3 linked regions of the Lepisosteus oculatus genome follow. The protein of the gene in region 1 purifies or fractionates together with the protein of each later gene. This does not show direct contact. Links are inferred from orthologs where the notes say so. Each region holds a gene or a part of one and is shown in the gene's direction. Other genes may lie near its edges. The genes, in order: g3bp2a, trim25 and caprin-1.

Region 1 (7,021 bases):
ACCGTCTCTGCACCCGAAGGCTGCGGCCCGGCCGGCTGCCCTCCCATCACTCCCCGCAGGAAATTCATGTCTCCCCCCACCAAGCCGAAGCGCTTTAGTGTTATGAAAATGACCGGGGCCGCGGCTGGTTGTACTGCGATCCCAAGCGTTACTCCGATCCTCGATCCCTTTCCCCCCCAGACCGATCTTGTTGTGGGACACTGACACACACAGCTACCCCGGAACAGCACTGGAACACCGCGCTGCGCAGGCGCGGAGACGTGGCGAAACGTGGCTGCTCACAGGGCCAGAGGTGATTTTTAAAGTGACAGGACCTCCTTCACCTTTCGGGGGGTCATGGCGCCCCATGGTTTTCCGGTTTCCCCGGCTGGTCTTGCGCAAGACGGAAGGCGATTTTTAAACACGGGATTTCATTTCGGTTCGTAACTATTACAAACAAGGGTTACACTTGCTTATACAACCGAAAGCATGACTGTAGGTGGCCCTGATAAGCTTTCAAGTGGCACCAGAACAAAACCAGGATTGCAGGACTGGTTGCAAAAAAAAGAAAGCCTTTTCTGGGGTCCTCCTTAGACAAACTGAGAATCCCAAGGTTTCTGGACCAAAGAACACCTTTGTGACATTGGACGGTTATTAAATAACATTTGTAATTGTTCTTCTATACTTATTTTTTTTGCAGGCATTTGCTTCATTTAAAAAAAAGGGGGTGTTTCATCTAACAGGTGGTCATTTCGCTATTATGACAGGGCTTTGCAAATTCGCTTGCATTGTGGTAGTTTAGAATTCAAAACAAAGGCAATAAGCAACACTTAACAGTCCAACACTTTGAAGCAATCTGTTAGTTGGTCTTAAAGGTGGTGCTTGGAAAATACCCAACATCAACAAAAGACTTGGTAATGAAAATCTTAACTTACACTGAAACACCTTGAAGAGATAGCCCAACATGCAAGTTAAACATGTGATGCATGAAGTGAGTTTGAGTGTTAATGTTTCGTCTGATATGTCAATTCATCATTTTGTAATGACATTGTTTTTTACAAGGATGGTTGAAGGTCACCAACCTTCATGTGTGCTATTGATCACACGGTGCCCCTATGTGAACAACTGTTCGCTTGTGTCCCCACCATTGGCTTGGACACCAGGAAGACAAGCATGCAAACAGATCATTGTACTTTAGCAGATATAAGAATACTAGAATGGTTACAAACAAGAAGAGACCATTCTGTCCCTCTGTCTAATTCAGTTTTTCAGTAGCTAGCTGATATGGCTAGGCAGCTTCTTGCACACTCCCACACCCCACAGCAGGAAGTGCCACCTGTTCTCTGTTTTAAAATGCACTTCCTGTGCATGTAGTTTCTATTTGTGCCTTCTGGTTCATATTTCAGTGTTGATTCTGAAGACTTTCATTCAGTAGTACTGCTTTTATCTAGGCTTTTTAAGATTTTGACGTCTTGAGTTTGGTTCTCTCATAATCTTCTTTGTTCAAGATTAAAAATAATGATTTTACCATTGCTGGTTGGAATCACAATGCAACTTCATTGCATGCAGCTTCTAACAAATATACAATATACAATTTCCAATGCACAGTAATTAAGTTTAAAAAATAAAATAAAATTATCAATCGTAATTTTTATTTCTGATGACAGTAACATCTTTTATTCTTTATTTATAATTCAGCTATTTGTATTTTTTAAGCATTTGAAAGTGGGAAGAATGCAAAGTTTTCAAACAACTCTAAAATGTTTTTTTTTTTCATGCAAGCAACAGCTAGTTTTAATAATATGTCCTCAGTGATTATTTGGTTGTATTTCAGATTATTTCCTTTAGATACACAAATTCACATCAAAGCAAAAATTTACTTGGGCATGTCACAAAACAGGTGACCACTGCAATTCAAACGACCTCACCTAGGAGAACAGATGAGATATGTTCATATTTCATATTTGACATTTACTGTACTTTTTCTGAAAATCTTCCTTCAGACATTTTTCTGAGAAATGACTATGCCCAGTTTGTTCTACTGTGAGCTCATTGTGTATACAAATTTTTCTCTTTAAACTTTTTTCTTTAACCACTTGTATTTTTTTATAAACTGTTTTATAACCATTAAAAGTACTGGTTTCTTGTCAAGACTATTTAATGAGTTAGCTACTGTATGCACACCAACACACTGAGTTAAATGCCTTTCCCCTTGAGAGCCCTAAAGTTCAAAACTTCAGCTGTTTCTTGCTGTTTTATATGCAGCTCATGTCTTGACTGGTCTTTTCTGCAGGGGTACATCTACCCCTTCCCCCTTGTTACAGATCCACAGTCCAGCCATTTCTTAGAGACACCTGAAGAAGGCTCCACGGCCAAAACGTTGTGTTCTCTTTCTTCTTTTTTTCAGCATGGAATAAACCTATTACTTATTTCTTAGAGATGCTAGTTATTTAGAATTTAGCCATCTTTGAAACATGAACAATCTTTTGATTGATCATGTTTGCCTTTGATCAGTCAAGCATTGCAGGCACAACTTATACGATGTCATACTGTTTCCTTAACTTATTCAATATTGTTAGTCTATACTATGGTGGAAGAATTGTGCTTTTTACACAGTTAATGTATACAGGTCAAAGTTTAATTTAAGTGTGCAGTTCTGTGATTCTGTATGTTATTATTTGAGCCTTTCCTAGAATACTTACAAATATCACATTACTTGTTATTGTGTTCTGTAATTGGCTTTATTTTTAAAGTCTGTCTCTTAAAAAAGCATGTGAGTAAAATTAAAACATTAATTTAATTAACTGCCATTGAACGGCCAGATTAAAATCTTTTATTTTAAAGTGTCATATTTTGTGTTTTTGCTGATAACTACTGCCCATTAGATACTGCTCTTTCCTGATGTGCTTCATGCTCTTCAGAAACTACTAACATCAAACAACACAGGTGGGTCTCACTGAGTTCATATGGATTATATATGTCCAGCCCAGAAAAAATAACTATCTGTGCCTTTTTTGTCTGTATAATTGCAACCCTCCTGTGGGACATCTTTCACTCCCCTGTTTGTCTATAGTCCCCCTGAAGTTCACTAATTGCTGACTTTCTCATGGAATCAAGGTTTAAACACAGAGACACGGAACTCTAAAGTTCAGAAAAGGGCAACATTGAACCCTTGTAAACACAGCTGATTTGATTTCTTACTGACCTAATTGGTTAATTCAAGTCATGAAAGTCTGAGATGGAATAAACACAGCAAACAACACTAGAGCGATAGGGATGCCTACCCCTGATGGAGACTGTGGCATAATGCAGGGTTACCACATTAGAAGATTCAAAAACAGGCTTCAGTCGTGGTTCAATAGAGCTGTGTTTTGGACTAGACACTGTCATGAGTTAATTATCCAGAGACTGTACTGAAACTGCAGGTCCTTTGGATGTTTCTCTGTCAGAAACGTCCTGAGAGGAGAGGGAGGAGTCTGAAGAGGAAATTCAGGAGACACAGAACTGGGGAGGGCACAGGAGGAGGCTCAAGAAAATGTAAACAGAGGAACATTAGAGAGAAAAGCTACTCAAGAGCTGACAGGAGAGACACTGGCTGACACAAGGCATGAAGTTCAGCAAGTGGCTTAAACTGAACATTGGAACCTCGGAATCAAGTTGTACAATCTATGTGTTACCGTTTTCGCTCTAATTTGCATTCAGGTCGTTTTTTAAAATCTGATTGTACCATTTTAGAATTGCAAGCAAATGATTTAATAGGAAGTAGTGACCAAGACAGGGAAAAAAAGGCACAGGCTGCAGCAATAGCAATACTACATGATGATACACAAGTAGAAGAATTCGTAGATAATAAATGTGTACAAGAATGTGTCTGGCAGATAATAAAGCTTATTATTACTTCTGCTTGTTATTTGTGTGCCTTGCTTTTGGTTTAGTTAATGTCTTATTCTAAATCTATTGTTTTCACACAGCGCTACATTATGAATTTTTTGCACTGTTTAATTTATTTATTGTTTTAAACCGAGGGACTTCTGGATAAGGACGTCAGAGGTAAATATTAATAAATAATCGCGTAGTATCGGAGGGTCTTTGTGACGTCATAATCTCGAAGCGCTGGACCGGCGGCGCGGGAGGCGGGCGGGAAAGCACTCGCTTTTTGCGTCACAATAAGTATTGTCCAATGTGAGGTTTTTATTGGTTTGTTGAGTGTGACGGGGGTTCCCTGCCCCGGAGAGCAGGGGTGAGACAATAAGATAGAATCTATCGCTTTAAATCCCAATCTCTGATTAAACAGAGATCATAGAGTCCTAGGGCAAGGTGGGGGGAAAAAAAATCAGAAATTAATCCGTTTTCCCCAGAGAAATACCTGTTTCCGTGTTTAACTGACTAGCTTTATCTTCAGTATTAATCGCCATTCTCTTTAATCACTGTGTTGATTTAGGTAGGTGTTTAAAAGGTAAGTTCGATTTGTTTTGCCTTAATTTGGGTAATTTTTGTTATTCTCCCGTGTTTTGGTGGTTTGATATTAATCACTTCACCTTATTTTGTATTTGTTTTTGGTTACGTAAAGATGGGGTATGGCGTGTGCATTTTCTAACATGAAAAGGGATATTTAGCACGTTTGGATTTTTCTTCTATTTTTCAGACCAGTTCTAGTGAAAAGGGACATTCTTGGTATTTTTTTTCCAATTGTGTGTCGTTTTGAAGAGCTCGCGTTGCGTTTGAGCGGCGAGATCAGAAAAGGCCTGTGTAACTGTGTACAGTAGCGGTGTTTTTTAACGTGATGTCGAGCACGCTACCTGCTGGCTTTTCGTGCATTATCTTTGTTTACACACCTCGCTAAAAGACCGAAGGAAAAAAAAAACCGTTGATGTACACCCATCTGGGCGCGGATTAACGTGTTATTTTGTGCACTTGGCGGGGCTGTTGATTTTAACACAAAAGAAACGACGCCATAACGCGCACCGCCATGAGCCCCCGGCCGGTTTCACTATCGCTCTTTCTCGGAAGCGCGACTGAAGCAGCCCAGACAGCCGCGGTTACACCTCTCGTGTGCGGCAGCGGCCTCGGCTTTTCGCACAGGAGTTGACGGGTGCTGGCGGCCAGTGTCGTGTCCGACAGTCTTGCTGCGGGAGAAACGCTTGATTTCAGACTGTTTTTTTTTTTTTTTTGACGCGACCGACCTACTACTACTACATGCACATTGCGTCGCTGCAGGACGGCGGCTCTTAATGAAGGCCGCGCTGTACTCCTGAGAACTTAGAAAAGACCCGAGCTGACTGCTCCCCCTCCTCCTCCGCATCCGCGTACGGACTGTCGTGCAACGGGGTGACACGATTTCGTGCCGTGGTGCCGGGCCGAACCGTGCAAATGCGATTTCGTCCCCGTTGCGCTGGAGGGCCTTCCGCCGTTTCCCAGCGAGCCTCCCACCCGGGTGTGCGGGGGATCTGACGAGCGTGGGGCAGGGGAGACGTGAAACATTGTGGAACATTTAAGAAACCACCCGGGAAGGTTCGGGTGGACTCGGGATCCAACGTGGTGGAGGAACGAAACACGCGTTTTTTAAAGTAATTCGTTGCGGGTGGTTGGTTTTGTTAGCGGTGGTGGTGTTGCGCGGAAGTGTGTCTGATGGCGCAGTTGAACGCGGCTAAGGTGTTGCTTGCAGGAAGTTGGCAGCGTTAGGCGCCGTGGAGGCGCTGGTTATTACCTGCTCGCTGGAGTTAACACGACTGTTGGCCGTGTGTTCGTGAGGGGTGCGAGCAAAACCCGACGGGACGTAGCTTATTTGGTCAATAGTGTTGGATCACGTTGTTTCACGGAGGACTAACCCTGCGGCATCGTCCTGTATCTCTCCTCCTCTCGCCCCCGAGCTTGACGGTCTCCATGTGCCTGAACGGCATTGATGAGCCGGGCGTAAACAACTCGTTTCATTTTGCAAACGAAAGGCTGGGGTGATACATTTTTTAAGGATTGGACCCACATGCAGCTTAATAGACGGCGCTCGATTCGGCCAAGAGAAACAAAACACAGGCTGCGCGAGTTTCCACCTCCAGTTTTCTTTACCTTTTTTTTGTACAGGTCTGGGGGAAAAAAAAGCACTTTTTTGTTCAGCATTTTTGGCCTTTTTTTCCTCAATTCATAACTTTATGTTGCCCCCACACCACAATTTAGTATTAAGGTTCCCTGCATAATTCATACAGCTGTCTACTTGTGTGCATTGGCCTTTACTGATCTCCAGGGCGCTATGATCTTTGTGCATCAAAAGTAAAGTATGTTTGGGAAAAGGCATAGGAAGTAGATTTGGAACTTGTGCCTGTATTTTGAAATTCTGAGGCGTCATAAAAAATAAATGATCCCCCCCCCCCCACTCTCTGAAAGAAGTGGTGGGGAATATGGAATATTTCTTTGTTTTCTGTGAACAACAGAAGGGCATCTAAAAATGCATCGCCGTTCTTGTTCCATAGACCCTTGCATAGCTCTGATCATGACCTGCTGCACATGGAGGAGGTTGCTGTCGGCAGCAGTGACCTTTCGCAGTGATTAACTTCCGGGGCCACGCTGAATTCATGTCCCCCTCCCCCTGCTTTTCTTTCAGCACGTTTACCAAAGAAATGGTGATGGAGAAGCCAAGTCCCCTGCTTGTAGGGCGGGAGTTTGTGAGGCAGTATTACACCCTGTTAAACAAGGCACCAGATTTTCTGCACAGGTAAGGGAGAAGGAGTTCAACCCCCTCGTAGCTGCAGGCCAGTACCGGCCAAAGGGAAAGCTTTTTTTGCTGCGGTTTTGCTGTTTTGTTTTTTTTTATATTCCTTCCTAGTATCAGACTTACTGTGCAAGTACGTGTTGGGAGATTGCACATAGGTTTGAACACTCCCCCTGTGCTAATTTGCGTGGCTGCCTCGGTTTAGGGTTTGCCATGCAAAATGATCTCACCTGTGATCCCGGCTTTTCTGCTTTAGGTTCTACGGGAGGCACTCCTCCTATGTCCACGGAGGGTTGGATTCCAATGGGAAGCCGGCAGAAGCTGTTTATGGTCAAGCTG
Region 2 (7,933 bases), on another chromosome or scaffold:
GTGAGCCCTCACTGCACGGCACTCTGGGAGCAGGGGGGCGGGCCGTGCTCACACGGCACTCTGGGAGCAGGGGGGCGGGCCGAGCTCACACGGCACTCTGGGAACAGGGGGGCGGGCCGCGCTCACACGGCACTCTGGGAGCAGGGGGCGGGCCGCGCTCACACGGCACTCTCGGAACAGGGGGGCGGGCCGCGCTCACACGGCACTCTGGGAGCAGGGGGCGGGCCGCGCTCACACGGCACTCTGGGAGCAGGGGGCGGGCCGCGCTCACACGGCACTCTGGGAGCAGGGGGCGGGCCGTGCTCACACGGCACTCTGGGAGCAGGGGGGCGGGCCGTGCTCACACGGCACTCTGGGAGCAGGGGGCGGGCCGCGCTCACACGGCACTCTGGGAGCAGGGGGCGGGCCGCGCTCACACGGCACTCTGGGAGCAGGGGGGCGGGCCGCGCTCACACGGCACTCTGGGAGCAGGGGGCGGGCCGTGCTCACACGGCACTCTGGGAGCAGGGGGGCGGGCCGAGCTCACACGGCACTCTGGGAGCAGGGGCGCGGGCCGCGCTCACACGGCACTCTGGGAGCAGGGGGCGGGCCGCGCTCACACGGCACTCTGGGAGCAGGGGGCGGGCCGCGCTCACACGGCACTCTGGGAGCAGGGGGCGGGCCGCGCTCACACGGCACTCTGGGAGCAGGGGGCGGGCCGCGCTCACACGGCACTCTGGGAGCAGGGGGCGGGCCGTGCTCACACGGCACTCTGGGAGCAGGGGGGCGGGCCGAGCTCACACGGCACTCTGGGAGCAGGGGCGCGGGCCGTGCTCACACGGCCCTGGAGGCGGTGCAGGATCCACTCTCCCAGTGGAACAACTGCTTTCTTCAAGCAGGAGGGAAGAGGTCTGGCATGATCCAGCACACTTAGCGAGTCGCCCACTGGGCGGGCAGGGCTGTGGGTCAGATTAGGCACCCATTCACCATTCAAGTCGTAGTTGAACTTTTAGTTTCCTGTCTGAGCTGTGGCAGGCTACCCTGGGGGCAGTTTCGGTCCAGCTCTGCCCCTGCCCCTGTCCGGTCATGACCTCCCCGGTGGACAGGAGCGCTCGGTCACTCTGGACCCTGTCCTGCCCTTTCAGAACACCAACGGGGTGAACTTCTACAACATCCTGACCCAGGACCCCGATGAGGCACGGAAGGCTGTGGCAAAAAATGGATACCGTGGTAAAAACGAGCCTTTCTTTTTCTCCCGAGTGCCGGGTTTCCTGCCGTGTTGAGCCCTTGCTCCTCTTGAGGGGGGGGCTCTCTTCCTCCCAGATCGCCTCCAGCAGTCAGGGGAGCCTCTGCCCGCCCTGGGGTCTTCATTCCTGACGGAGAGTGAGCTCTGGGCTGCTCTTGGGCACTGTGGGCACAAAGACTGACAATGGCACCCTAACGTGTCTTTAAACACACTCCAGCCCGACGCCGGCGCCGCGGTGTCAGATCCCCGAGACCCGTCGTGCGCTCGTGCTCTTGGCGGCCGCCGATCTTCTCCCTCCGCGCGCCGGCCGCTCAGCCCCGCTCCCGCTGTCTCCCGCAGTCTCCCTGCAGCGCCGCTGCCTCGGCCCGCTGCACGGACAGACGCTCAGCCAGCTGATGAACGGGCCCATCCGAGACAAGCTCAAGATCATTCCCAGCCGGGTCACCTGGGGAGGTACGTGCCAGGCCAGCCGAGGGACCCCCGGTCTCGCTCTGCACTTCCCTTCCCTGTGTTTGCTCCTGTTTCCCCACGCGGGGGATCCACAGGGTCTTTGGGATCGCCTGATCCCCTAATGACCTGCCCGACATGACCATCGCTCGGGATCTGAATTACAGTGCGTGAGCGTCTGTGGACCGTAGTGACCGTGACGGTGAGCTGGACCAGCAGAGACGGGCGCACTGAGGGGCTGCGTCTCTGTCAGAGGGGTCCGGGCTGGTGAGGGGCGCAGCAGAGACCCACCTCCCAGCGCACTGGTGGGACAGGAGGCGACCCCTGCCTGCCGTGGCTTGAGGGTCCTGCAGGATCCTGGCTGGGCAGCAGTGGTTTCTCCAGTGGGCTCCTGCAGTGGGACAGGTGTCTCCCAGGGCTTCCTGCACAGCACGTGGTCACAGGTCACGCTGGTCCAGTCTGCAGGGACACATACCCATGTGCCTGTCTCCCCAGGTCAGGCCTCGGACGTCTTCGTCAGCATGGAGGGGGACTTCATGAAGCCAGTGGTGGACATAGTGGACCAGCTTCTGGCAGCCGGGGTCAATGTGACTGTCTACAATGGACAGCTGGACCTCATCGTGGACACCATGGGTATGGCCCTGAGTTTGCACACCACACAGATGGTCCGAGGAGCAGGAGCAAGACAAGAGCCTGTCATTAGTGCCCAGAACACTGGTGTCCAAGCAGGAGCACAGACAGCATAGAAACGCCACAGTCCTTCACCTCTGCCTGTTTTACATTTCAAAACGGTGTGTGATCAAGCTTGTCTCATGAGGATGAGTGGCAGAAGAATAATTGGTTTATTTCAAGGGAGACAATCTGGTGCTGCAGAGACCTGGGTGTTTCTCCCCTGAGAATGACCAGTTCAGGGGTGTTCAGTGGTGCCCTGGAGGGGTGTCACGGAGAGTGGGTCCTGCCTGCAGTCACTGGCTCAGGGTGACACACCGAATCAGAGGCACAGCCTGGGCTTGAACTGAGAACCAGCCTGTTGGTAATGAGCCCTTAACCTCAGGCACTACAGCAGTAGCTTCCCGTACAGGAGGTGTGGCCCGCGGCAGCAGCTGCCCCTGGGTGAGGTCGTGGAGTGCCAGTGACGGGGCTGTGTGCTGTGTTCCTGGCAGGTCAGGAGGCCTGGGTGAAGAGGCTGAAGTGGGCGGGACTTCCTGCATTTAGTAAGATGAGATGGACAGCTGTGGATGACCCCGCCTCCCATGGCCAGACGGGAGCCTTCTACAAGACCTACCAGAACTTCGCTTTCTACTGGATCCTCAAGGCCGGACACATGGTAACACTGCACAGGCACCCTGATGGTGTGATAACATCCCCCCTGCCCAGCCCACGGTTAAACATGGCGTTAACATTGCTGTACTGTTTTTAAATCATGATTGACTGACAAAACAAAACAAGCTTGAACATTTTCTGACTGAACACGCGTTAAAGAAAACTCACCAGGCTATAATCCCCACACAAAAGATTACAAATGGTCATTGGAAAGGTTTCTCGTCTGGAAACCAAACTTAAGTTAAATAGACAGAACACAGGGGTCAGCAGGTGAGGGGTCAGTTCAGGGGTGTCCAGGGGAGAGGGGGGGTCCTGTCTAGGCTGTTCTAGGCCTCTTTAAAGCAGAGCCACCTGAAGAGCAGGTTGCAAGAGGCTGTTCAATTGGTCCAGTTAAGCCAATAGTGAGCTGATAGAGGTCAATAACAGCTGACCTGAACTAAAGCCCTGCAGGACCTCGACTGGACACCCCTGGTCAGACTTGAGGTGCACCGCGGGCCCAGTCTCACTGCGCGCCTCTCTCTCAGATCCCTTCGGACCAGGGCGGGATGGCCCTGGAGATGCTGAAGATGGTGACGCAGCAGGAGTGACCCGGGCCAAGGGCAACGGGGCCATCGCCGGAGACAATCATGTCCACTGACCGTGACCACTGCTACCCACTCCCACTCCCGCTGCCTTCTCTGTTTCAGTGCGCTCGCAAGTCAAGAGGAAGTACCAAAAACAATGTTTTTTTTTAATTTCCAGAACAATGCTTTAAAACTGTTGGTAAAGATAATAAAAGATGTTTTTTTTACAAATCTCATCTCATCTTCTGTCCAGTTGTCCTCTGCCTTGTGCCTCTTGTTTTCCTGGTGTTCTGGCCCCGGGCACTTTCACTCTGATACGTGCAGAAGGAGGGGGACACGCCAGTTGAATGACGTTGACTGACATGATGCACTTTAAACTCTTCTCATGCTGAACCACATGACTGACGGAGTCGAGCGACCATCACTCTGATACTTCAGTTTCTAGACTAGCTGCTAGAGAGCGGATAGTTATTGATTTGGAGCTCCTGGAGTCGATCGCAAGCAGGTTGTTTCAGCTCGTTTTTCGTCAGTCACTAGCGTTTCCCTCCTCCTGGGAAATCGGGCACTGGCTCCAGCTCCTCCATGACTCTGGACTGGAGGAAGTGGTTCGGAAATGTGCTGCTTTAGGTAACTGCAGTTCAACTCCAGAGCTGTCTGTGTGGAGTCTGTATGTTCTCCCCAGGTTTTCCTTGTTCCTCCAGGTGCCCCAGTTTCCTCCCACAGTCCAAAGACATGCTGGTGGGTTTATTGGTTTCTGGGAAAATTGGCCCTGGTGTGAGTGTGTGTCTGTGTGTGTCCCGGGGGTATCCTGCCTCGTGCCCAGTGCTTGCTGGGATAGGCTCCGGCTCCCCTGAGCCTCTGCAGTGGAAGAAGCAGCTTGGAAGTGGCAGGATGAAAACATATCAAGGGCTCGGGCACAAACAGCTTCCCTGGCTGTCACTTGTCAGGCGTGTCACTTGTTCAAGTCTCGGCAGCGTTTTCTTGCTGTTTTTAGTTTTCCCTGGGACTGTACATCCATCCATTTTCTAATTGCTCCTTCCAGTGCAGGGCTGAGGGGGGTCAGAGACTATCCAGGCACAGGGTCCAGAACCCATCGCTGGACACACGCAGACACACAGGCACGAGTAGAAGGTACATTTCTCAGTCACCATAACTATATTAAGCATGAATGTAGCATCGGCATTTCTGCTGTTTGCATGTTTTGCATCCAGCTTGGATGCGATTGTAAGTGTCTTGACGACTCGTCTGGCCAGAGGGACCCCTGTCATCCTCCACTGAAGAGCTGCCGCACCTGCGCGACACGCTGAAACCGCGCAAGACGAACCTGTGGAGGCGCCGCTTGAGAGAGAGAGAGAGCGAATCAGGAACACCGCTGCGGACACACTGCAGACACAGCCTCGCTGCTCGCGCGCCGTACCCGCGGATCTCGCCCTCGCGAGCGCAGGTCGCGCGCACCGGCTGGACCCGCAGCCCCGCGCGCAGGCGGCCCGGCAGAGGACAGTCGCAGTCTCGCCGCGCAGGTGTGCAGGTAAGACCTCCACGCAGCCGCTCCCGGTGAGCTCTGGCGGATAGGCTGTCCTTCGCACGCTTTAAATATGTATATATATAGCGATCAGAACAACTGGAATGACGTGTAGAGTAAAAAAGTCATCTTAAGTATCGGGTATAAAAGTATTTTTTCATGTCACGCACAGTCGAGCCTATGTAGTGATTCCAGACAACCAGTCTGCTCTCTCGGTCTTGTTTATAGTACCTTTAAAATGTGTTGTTATTCGAGATCATGGACTGGAGCCCATAACAGCGAGGGGCGGCCTAATGTAGTCATTTTTAAACGCATTATAGCCCATTTGATGTTTTGTTTTATTCGTCTTGAAGTTTTTCTTGCCTAAGGGTAAAAAAAAAAAAAGAGTATCGTAACTCGTAGAAAGAGTAATCGCCTCTTCTGCGTTGCCAGGTTTGCGCTTCGGGAGCTCCAGTTAAGTTTCGTTTTCGTTTCCGGCTTGCCTCCGCCCGGCCTCTGCAGGTTTCGCCCGTGACGCACCCGTGACGCGCTCGCCTCCCCCACCCTACCACCCCACCCGCGCGCTGACATGGCGTCGCCCCTGCTGAGCCTCGCGGAGGAGCTCGTGTGCAGCATCTGCCTGAGCACGTTCGACAGCCCCGTGACCACCCCGTGCGGCCACAACTTCTGCCGGGGCTGCCTGGAGGCCACCTGGCAAGAGAGCCAGCAGGTGGCGCTTGGCTACAACTGCCCGCAGTGCCGCACCCACTTCTACACCAAGCCGGAGCTGCGCAAGAACACCGTGCTGAGCACCGTGGTGGACACCTTCACCAGGGCCCAGCCGGCCGCCGGCCCCCGGGACGAGCCGGAGCACGGGGACGAGCCGGAGCCGGACCCGGAGTCTGTGCTCTGCGACACCTGCCTGCAGGCCCGCGCCTGCAACACCTGCCTCACCTGCATGGCCTCCTTCTGCCCCGAGCACGTGCGGCCCCACCAGGAGAGCCCCGCCTTCCAGGCGCACCAGCTGGGCGCGCCGCTGGCCGACCTGCAGGAGCGCCTCTGCGCCGAGCACTGCAAGCTGCTGGAGTTCTTCTGCCTGCAGCACCGCCGCGCCATCTGCAGCCTCTGCCTGCAGCTCACGCACAAGCCCTGCCGCTTCTCCACGCCGCAGGAGCAGCGGGCGGAGCAGGAGGTACGGCCCCCCGCCCCCCGCCCCCCGCGCCTCCTCCTCCTCCTCCTCACCGCGCCCTGTCTCCTGCTTCACAGGCGAAGCTGACGGAGAAGCTGACTCTGCTGAATGAGAAGATCGAGAAGACCCAGATCGTCGTTTCACAGATGAAGGAGCTGCAGAGCTCTGTCCGGGTGAGTGTGACTGAGGACAGGGGACAGGGGACAGGGGGGAGAGGACAGAGAGCAGAGGACAGGGGACTAAGGGCAGGGGGCAGAGGCCAGAGGACAGGGGGCAGATGACAGGGGGGAGAGGTCAGGGGGCAGGGGGCAGAGGGGAGAGGGGAGAGGACAGGGGCAGATTTTGATGCAGTAACACCTTGTTTAATACTGTCAAGTTGCCACAGTGCAGAGGAAGAGTATACAGGCTACAGCTGACAGCCGGACTCTGTCTCCACTGGCTCTGCTGGACTGTGAGCCTGTGGGGCGGCTGGTGCTCAGTCACTGTCCAGCCAAGCTCGGCGTTTCTCTTCGACAGCCTCAGCCCCTCTACCGCTCGAACCCTGCCGCTCAGTGACGAGACCTAGAGAACATTCTGGACTCCGGCCGTCAGGGCCTGGAATCCCACTGTACTGTATCAGTCCCAGACCAGTTTTCACTGAAGTCATTGGATATACTGTATATTCACGCCGCCCAGGAGGTTGGTCTTGGAGAGCACACGAGGGTGGTGCTCGGCCGTGACTCAGCCTGCACGACGGTGCGTGACTCATCTCCCTAGAGACCAGTTTCAGGAGGATGTTTCTGAGCCGTTTCTAGGGTGCAGGTGATAAACAATCCTGCTCCCTGCCTGCAGACGTGTACGTGGCAGAGAGGTGTGCCGATGTTACAGGAGTGTCCTGCCATGAGCTGGATACTGTACACATCCTTCTCGCCCGCCACCTGCGGGCCCTCGTCCTTAGATTGTCCCCCTGGCTGACAGCCCACCAAGCTCTCTGAGCACCTTTGAATTTTTGAGTCGAATCCCCTCTTGCTCAAGCCCGAATAAATTCAGTTACAAATTCAAATCTCAATGCAGAGCTGCTTAAAGACACCGAGAGAAGATCAGAAAGATTCGGCAAGTCTTGCTTGTTTGGCTGCGAGTGGCTCACTGCTCCCTGGGTCTCGTCCACCTGCTTCCTGAAGGGCCCCAGGGGCCGGGGAGTCCCAGACACCTGCAGTCCCCTCCGCTCTCAGGCCCTGCCTTGCTCGCGATGACCAAGCTTTTCCTCTCTCTGTCGGCTTCTCCTGGTGTCCAGGAGTCCGCGGAGTCCAGGAAGAAGGTCCTGGCGGAGCTGTACCGGCAGATGAAGGAGATGCTGGAGAAGGATGAGCGAGAGGCCCTGAGGGCTGTGGATCACGAGCAGGAAGGCGCCCAGACCCGCATCCTGGGCCTGATGCAGAGGATGAGCATGAACGTGGAGGAGATGGCCAGCACCAAGGGCCGCGTGGAGGCCCTGCTGGCACAGAAGCACAAGATCAGCTTCCTGCAGGTGGGGCCGCCAGCCTCGTGCCACTGGCTTTACAGCACTGCGTCTGGAGATCCTGCACGGCAATTTGAACTGAGAAATTGTAAACATCTAACAGCAACGATAGTAAATATATATGCGTGTTGAAAAGGCGTTTCATTCAGATGACTGATGTGTTCAAAAGAGGGTGATTTGAAATGAT
Region 3 (7,351 bases), on another chromosome or scaffold:
TCTTTTGGAAGCTGTTTGATTACATGTTAGTTTCTGTTTTGCCACAGTGCTACACAGGGATGACATACCTAATTCAATCAATAAAGAATGCATTGTTACTGAATTGTTACTTTATACATTAAAACTTCCTTGATAGGAAGGGCCATCAACTATAAACACCCCCACAGAAACATTAGTGTAAAATCACAATAAAATACGTTAATTTCTCTTGTAGACAGGAATATTCTCTGTGTGGTAGAAGGTTTTCCGAATGTACTGTACAATTTCCTGGAATGCTTGTGGAATATTTTTAGAGGCTTGGCCTCTGTTCCTGTCCAAATTTTTCCAGGGAACAGTGTCTCTGCCATAACAACCTAAGGCAAATGAGGGCTGAGTTGGGAACCTGATAAAAATGTACATGAGAAAGCAGAACTGAGAGAGGACTCCTATTTAAAGATGAAGGAGGTCCTGGTGTCTGTTTGAAACACAGCAGGTTGCGGAAATTAGTCACTCATCAGAAGGGGCTTTCATTATCCCTTGAGACCCTACTGTAATCAGTATTATCCTTCTATAAAAACAGCCATTCAATCAAAGAGCGCAATCAAGGAGGGTTGGAGCCATGTTAACTGCTTCCTGTATCTGCCAAACCAAAAAAAATGCTTCATCAAATGAAGTAAGAGAGCTTTCTGGATGCCAGATTATGGAAGCCCAGAGCAGTTCTAGCCACGACACAAGGATTACCACCAAACAATGCCAGGAGATCCTTCATAACCAAGTAGCTGTCAAATCATCTCATCCAAAGGTGACACAGGAAGGGTACTTCCCACTGCACCACAAACAGCAAATACAGTAGCAACCTGGTTTTCCTTTTACCTTGGAAGCCAGAATTTGTCAGGTTCAGGCTTACTTAGTTTCAAAGATATCTTGATAAGCTTTCGTCAATAAACCTGCCATTTAATCCATCTACCCTCTAGAAATATATTTCACAGAGGCTACAGTACTGTACATTCAGGTTTAACAATTTCATTTTATTATAAATGTACTCTTTATAATGTATTAAGGTAGTAATATAATCTTTTCAAATCATTTACGTATCGTAAATGTCTGGCATTATTAAGGGTGAATATTCATGTAGTTGCTGGGTTTGCCATGATTACTCTAAAATATGTACACTTGTCATAACCCAAGTGAGTGTGACAATGATGATTAGTAGTATGTATGTTATAATACCAGTTATAATATCAGCAATCGTTTATCAAGAGTTTTCATTGAAGCCTGTTTATGGCCCCCTTTCAAAACCTAGAGACCTACTGCCCCCTTGTGGAATTGTGTACAGAAAGGCAACCACAAGCGCCTGTGAAAGAACTGCGTCATATAACAGTATTAGTATATAATAATATACCAGACAAGAGTGCTGCCCTGCAGTTAAGACTTTTAAAAGTAAAGATATGGCTACAGCAAATAAAGTAATAGGTTGTAGAGATAACTGTATGTTAACTATGTAACTATGTAATATGTAAAATGATTGTACAAAGACTATTATTTTGTGTGTTTACTTTAGTTCTATGGTGATTTCCACATGACTGCTCTTGAACACTTTTCTAAAACCCACAGACAGCATTTAAGTGGAGGTAAATCTTGGCAATAATGCGATAGTTGTTAAACAAGATTCACCACATTCTCCTTAACTGCATGCATTAATTTAACAGGTTAATATCTCATATTGTAAAATGGATTTTCTGACATGCTGAAATATAGACCTGACTTTTATGTAGGCTGAATGCTTATGAAGCCTACAGCTTGACTGGTATGTGTGGTGATATGAATCAGGCAAATTGCTTTCTGTATAATAAAGTGTATTTAAGTCTGCTGCTTTTTTCTCACCAGGAGACTAGCTGCCCACTGTTTCTTCTGATATCCTACACTTGATTTGTAATTGCATTCATCTGTTGATATCCAGGTGGCACAGTGGATAGCACTGCTGTCTCACAGTGCTGGGGCCCTGGGTCCAATCTCCTCGTGTTCGTGTGGGTTTCCTCTGGTCCTCCCACTGTCCAGAGATATATTGGTAGGACAATTATCTTCTAGGGAAATTGGCTCTGGTGTGTGTTTGTGTCAGTGTGGGCCCTGCAATGGACTAGTGTTGATATTCATTATATCTATGATATAAACAGATTTCACATAATTTAAGCACATACAATTCAGTAGACACTTGCAGACAATCAACATATAAATTAATAAAGGTTTGGTTGTGCACCATAGAGATACCATACCATAGAGACTGCAAGTAAAGCAAAACCAGATTCATCTCAATGAGCAATTCGCATATTATTGTCAATGTCACCTCCTTAAAGTGTTGCCCATTATTTTGGACAGTGTTCAAAGTTGGACATGTGCCAAACCCCAGAGAGTACCCATGGTCAATGGTCTAAAAACACTATATCTACTGTATGTAGATATTTTTTCTTATACTGTAGTCTATTTTAATTCAATGATGTATTAGGGAAATGAGGGTAGGCTTCAACTAGATTGTTTTAGACCCCCTTATTAAACGTTAGTGAATAGGAATTGAATGTGTGGTTGAAGAACAGTTCCACGCAATAGCCATATTGCAACCTGAAATCATCTGGTATATTTTCAAACTGTCACTCCTAATGGTGGTTTGGCTCTCCTAGAGGATAATTTGTCGGATGGCCTTCTTCAAATTACCTGCTGCATTTAAGGTGTGCAGGCCTCTTCAGGGTGAATAAGTCCCAGTCCACATCTCCCACAGCAAGAAGAGGATACAAATAAACTGAAGAGTGAGACTAGGGGCATTTCTATTGTGCACACTGGGATACAAAGCCGGTCCTATTTGTGGTATTAGAACGCAACCAAACATAAGTCAACATTGTCTCAGTCTTCACTCAGCTCCAAAAATAGACTTATTTGGGTGCACTAAGACCCACCAGCACAAGATGACACGTGTGGAAATACTCATTCCTAGCACATAAGTATACACCAGGATGTGCCAGCAACACCATGTGTACATTTACCTCACAGAGCATCAAGACTTAATCCCACCTTGAGGTTTCTCCGTCGCATTGCATACATTCTTTGAACAAGTCTGTCATTGATCAATTACCATGCTACTTTTTTTATATAAAAGTATCTCTCCCAAACTATGCACCACTCACTCAGGCTTACCTGATCTCATTTTTCAGGAATTGAGCTCACAAAAAACAGTTAATCTAATCTTTGTTGTGTTAATGTAAAATCTGTGCCAGTCTGGACTGGCTCGTACAGTGTTTTTTTTTTAATAAGATGTGTTTAACTTTCATTTGTCATCCTTTTTTAGCTTTCTTTAATGTTGTTAAACTACTTGATGTATGTTAATAGAAATCTGTTCAAAAGGGATTTAAATTTTTATTTTTTCTTTGAACAGATCACTTACTGCTGACTCATAAAGTATGGCTCTTCATAAACTTAGTGACAAATCTGTGAGATTTTACAGCATAGTTATGTGGTGTTGTCTCAGTCTGTTTGGAGTGGTCTTCAATGATAAAATATTTCTGCTGATAAAAATTAAATCACAGCCTGTACAGAAAAAAACACGACATTGAATTCTTGTGAATTGCTTTGAACAATCGTATTTGTCTTCATAATGCAACTACAAAATTCTGTATCCTTATTGGACAACAGTACATATATATATATAGTTTGTAAAATTATTACATTTATTGTTACGCTGTGATACTGAACTTGTAATAGACTTTAAAATGCATACTGGGTAATAATACGCATTATATTTCGATGTCTGAAAATGGTTATGTTTGTATGTGTAAAAAGCAATAACAAACTCGTTTACAAATCAATTTGAACATTTTTGCTGAACTGGCAGTGTAGTGCTACCACAAACTCCAGAATTAATGACGTAAAACATACCATACTGGACATACTGTATGTACTTGCGTGTATCAAATTTAATCCCGTGAAAGCCGACTAATCACTGTTAGTAGGTAAAGCGTAAGGATTTTTCCGTTTATAGCAATATAGAGAGGCATTAAACGGGCTGCATATGACTATTGGATGCAAGAGCGTTACGTTTTTAATGCCTGTATAATTTAATACTGTGGCAAAAAGCTGTATACACTGGAATATAAAATGTTTATCAGTTAATGGCACTGGCCTCCTTCAATCAGCATGAAATAATGAAAGAAGAATATGTTACTTGTATTTCGTATTTATACATGAAATGTTAGTGTTACAATTTGCAATCAATCCGGACACCCTCCAAGGCTAAGTGGAGCTGTATGTCATGGTCGTGTGTGACATCATCAACAGTAGCAGCTCATTTTGGACAGGCGCTCTGCAGGAGCACTTTGGGTCCTTCTTTCCCCAGGCAGTGACTCTGACGGAGCAGAACTGAACGAGGTACAGAAAATGTGCTCACTTTTAAGTGTGCCTGTTTTTAAAACAGCGCATATAATATAGGGCTGTGATTGTGGCGATAGCATGGACACGAGATATTCCAAAATAAATATGTATTTCTACCCAAAGAAGACGAATTAATTAAAACTCCGGCTCCACGCGTTCTTATATAACAGCAGTCAGCAATTGCTATGAATGTATTTTGTTACTGCAGTTAAGCCTGGTGATCAACTGCCCATAGTGAAATGTCACGCTCTTCGAGAAAGACTACATTAAATAAGCACGGCGTTTTTTTCGGTGTTCTTGAAGTATAACATAAAGTTGCCTTACGTTTTCTACCAATGTAACGTGACACAAACTGTCTGAAGAAGCAAAACTGCGTGTTTCCAGAGAATAATGCAGGCATGTTAAAATGGAAATGCATAGGAAACAGGAGACGAGCTTCGTCTTGCTTGCCTGTTCCGACACTATCGACAAAAAAACCTGCCTTGGAGCAATTTAGATTAAATTTAGAGATATGCGGGTAGGAAATAATTTGGAAATGTGCTCTAGGGAGTTGGAAAATGCCTGTCTCTTTTACTTTTGTTACATAAGGTTTGATACGTTTAACTCAAGTTCAGGCAGATCCTCAGGCAGCTATAACGGGGGCCCTTCCTCCATATAAAGTGTTGCCGCTCCGGTTGGTCTCCCTCAGTTGTCGGTGCGGCCGGCGGGGCGGATCCCAGAAGAAAAAAAAAATAAAATAAAAAGAAAGCAACATCATTACAGACTAAAACAATTTAACATTCAAAAAGTCATTATTTATTCCCTTGTGGATAAATAGAAACTGAAAAGGTAAGCACTCCCGACGAAACTGGAGGGGAACGACGCGTTTTCGGCGGAAGGCGATTGTTTAAAAACACAATGCGTACCCAACCACCTCAGTGGCTTCGCAATTTACAGGCAACTCGTGTGGGGGAAGAGGATTATACCGGCTGTCGTGTGCGGATGATTTTGTAAGATGGTATTTCCTGGGACACTGGCACTGTTGGCTCTTGCTTCCGTTTCCAATGTAACGGCTGAAGTGAGCAGAAGAATGACCGAGAAGAAAGGGAGGGGGTGGGGAGGGTAAGGTCTGCCTGCTGGAGTTTAGGGGCTGCAAATCGGAAGGTTTTACCAGTTTAACGGGGCATCATTGCACGTAACCGGACGGAGAAATCTGGCCTTTCCACAACATGAACTAGCTGGGGGGGGGGGGTGATCTTTCTACGGAAAGTTACTGTTCGTGTTTTAGAGAGTTGGCCATAGATATTTTACAAAGTTTCTCTTTTTTTTGTGTAAAAATAAGAACACGCACGCAGACCATGGCCAGCGATTTTCCCTCTGGCTGCTGCTGCTGCTGTTTTCTATTGCTGAAATATACAGTCTGGATGGTGGAGGTATTGTCGTGGATGATGGCTGCATTTTTAATCACGAGTTTCTGTTGACTTCTTTCTGGGGGGGGGGGATTCAGTAGGTAGTTTGACTGATTTCAGCCGAAAGAAAACTGAGGGGCAAGAAGGTGATCTCGTTAGTTCGGCCCAGGTAGTTCTGACTGACGTCTTGGCAGTGTGTGCCTTAATTGCTGCAGAGACATTGTTCCGCTAAATGAAGGCCTTTGTTTTGCTGTACTCTCTACCGACCCCTTCTGGTGGAGAAGAGTAGTCAGGCTGCGGTCTGGAATAAAACTACGGCTGTCAAGTGTCGGGTCCCAGCGCCCACTGGCCCGGGCACTCTGATTTCGGTCTTTAATTCGTCTCAAAACGGTTGCTGGATGATGGTAGAAACTTCCCAGGCTCTCGACGCTGTTGAACCGTCTCAGACACCGATGACAAGTCAACAGATCTCACTGCTGTCAAGTCACCCAAACACACTGATGGCTCAGCAGCGCTAAGCCTCAAGTGCAGGATTTCCAAGTCTTCCTGCTGCTTTTCCAGATTAAGATGTTGGAGTTGTAGGGTCTGACCAATCTCACTGCAACACTGACTAACCCTTTTTTTTTTGTTTTGCCATCCCTTCCATCCTTGCCTGCTCAGATGCCCTCAGCGACTATTGGCAACAGGACGGTGCAGTCCTCCAGTCCGGAGGTGGGGTCCGCTCCCGGTCCGCTGGGCCAGCTCTCCGGTCCCGGGCAGTTCCAGTCCGGGGCTCAGACGGAGGCCATGAAGCAGGTGCTTGGTGTCATTGACAAGAAAGTCCGTAACCTGGAAAAGAAAAAGGTAAAGTCTCAGGTGGAGTCAGGACAGCCATCACCTGGGAATCCCCACACACTCCGGTGAAGTGGTCCTTGTTAAGGAAATGGCATTTGCAACAACATGTTTGCATATCACACAGTACTGTCTAGAGGGGTTTATGTTTCTGGGACCTGTAAGAGTGTTAACTCTTTCTGGGTGCTGGGTGCAAAGCACCACATAGCACTGCCTTGTGTGTGTTACCTAGTTTGAGACTCACTGATGGTGTGACATCATGGAGGGGTTCTACTTTTTGCCCCCTGGTAAGGGTATTTTAGTAAACGGATGTAATCATTATCAGACTTTTAAGGAAAAAAAAAGTTTGCCTAAGAATGCATCTGGTAGGAAGGCACACAATCAAGAATGTTGAGACTTTCCTGAATCATATGCATCACAACATTTATAGTAATGTCAATACAATTTAAGAAATGTCAGGTATTTCTTTGCAGTCATGTCGATCCAACATTAGTCTTGACAGATAAGAGTAAAAACGGGGTGCATGGTTAGACAGTGTGGGTTCATCTGTCTGATCTCTGATCTGTTTGTCAGTTTCTTACATTTTCCATTTGTCATCGGAAGCTGCAGTATAATTTGGTACTTAGCTGCAGGGATTTGACTTCTGGCTGGGGACTGAGGCGTTGAGTTAATGAACCTTGCGTCACTTCGCTGGACCATTTAAAATAAGACATCTTTATGTTTTAGATGTCTTTACA

What was found.
Region 2: the proteins of g3bp2a (region 1) and trim25 purify together in Homo sapiens (affinity purification with mass spectrometry; 4 studies listed by BioGRID and IntAct, counting the BioPlex papers as one, with this or other methods). This does not show direct contact. The link is inferred for Lepisosteus oculatus from reciprocal best matches to the Homo sapiens genes G3BP2 and TRIM25.
Region 3: the proteins of g3bp2a (region 1) and caprin-1 purify together in Homo sapiens (affinity purification with mass spectrometry; 5 studies listed by BioGRID and IntAct, with this or other methods). This does not show direct contact. The link is inferred for Lepisosteus oculatus from reciprocal best matches to the Homo sapiens genes G3BP2 and CAPRIN1.

The regions. Positions count from the first base shown.
Region 1 is NC_090696.1:72,269,170-72,276,190, reverse strand, and holds the start of g3bp2a (ras GTPase-activating protein-binding protein 2), read left to right. Parts: upstream 1-4,004; 5' UTR 4,005-4,029; intron 4,030-4,182; exon of another isoform or gene 4,183-4,435; intron 4,436-4,774; exon of another isoform or gene 4,775-5,546; intron 5,547-6,574; 5' UTR 6,575-6,590; coding exon 6,591-6,685; intron 6,686-6,938; coding exon 6,939-7,020; intron 7,021-7,021. Other genes in the region: uso1 (general vesicular transport factor p115), read right to left, coding at 3-68.
Region 2 is NC_090704.1:46,864,585-46,872,517, forward strand, and holds the start of trim25 (E3 ubiquitin/ISG15 ligase TRIM25), read left to right. Parts: upstream 1-4,930; 5' UTR 4,931-5,086; intron 5,087-5,581; 5' UTR 5,582-5,648; coding exon 5,649-6,251; intron 6,252-6,325; coding exon 6,326-6,421; intron 6,422-7,521; coding exon 7,522-7,755; intron 7,756-7,933. Other genes in the region: scpep1 (retinoid-inducible serine carboxypeptidase), read left to right, coding at 1,125-1,209, 1,565-1,678, 2,168-2,305, 2,836-2,999, 3,520-3,582.
Region 3 is NC_090716.1:11,124,147-11,131,497, reverse strand, and holds the start of caprin-1, read left to right. Parts: upstream 1-4,301; 5' UTR 4,302-4,392; intron 4,393-5,065; exon of another isoform or gene 5,066-5,223; intron 5,224-6,443; coding exon 6,444-6,626; intron 6,627-7,351. UniProt on the Homo sapiens protein: mRNA-binding protein that acts as a regulator of mRNAs transport, translation and/or stability, and which is involved in neurogenesis, synaptic plasticity in neurons and cell proliferation and migration in multiple cell types.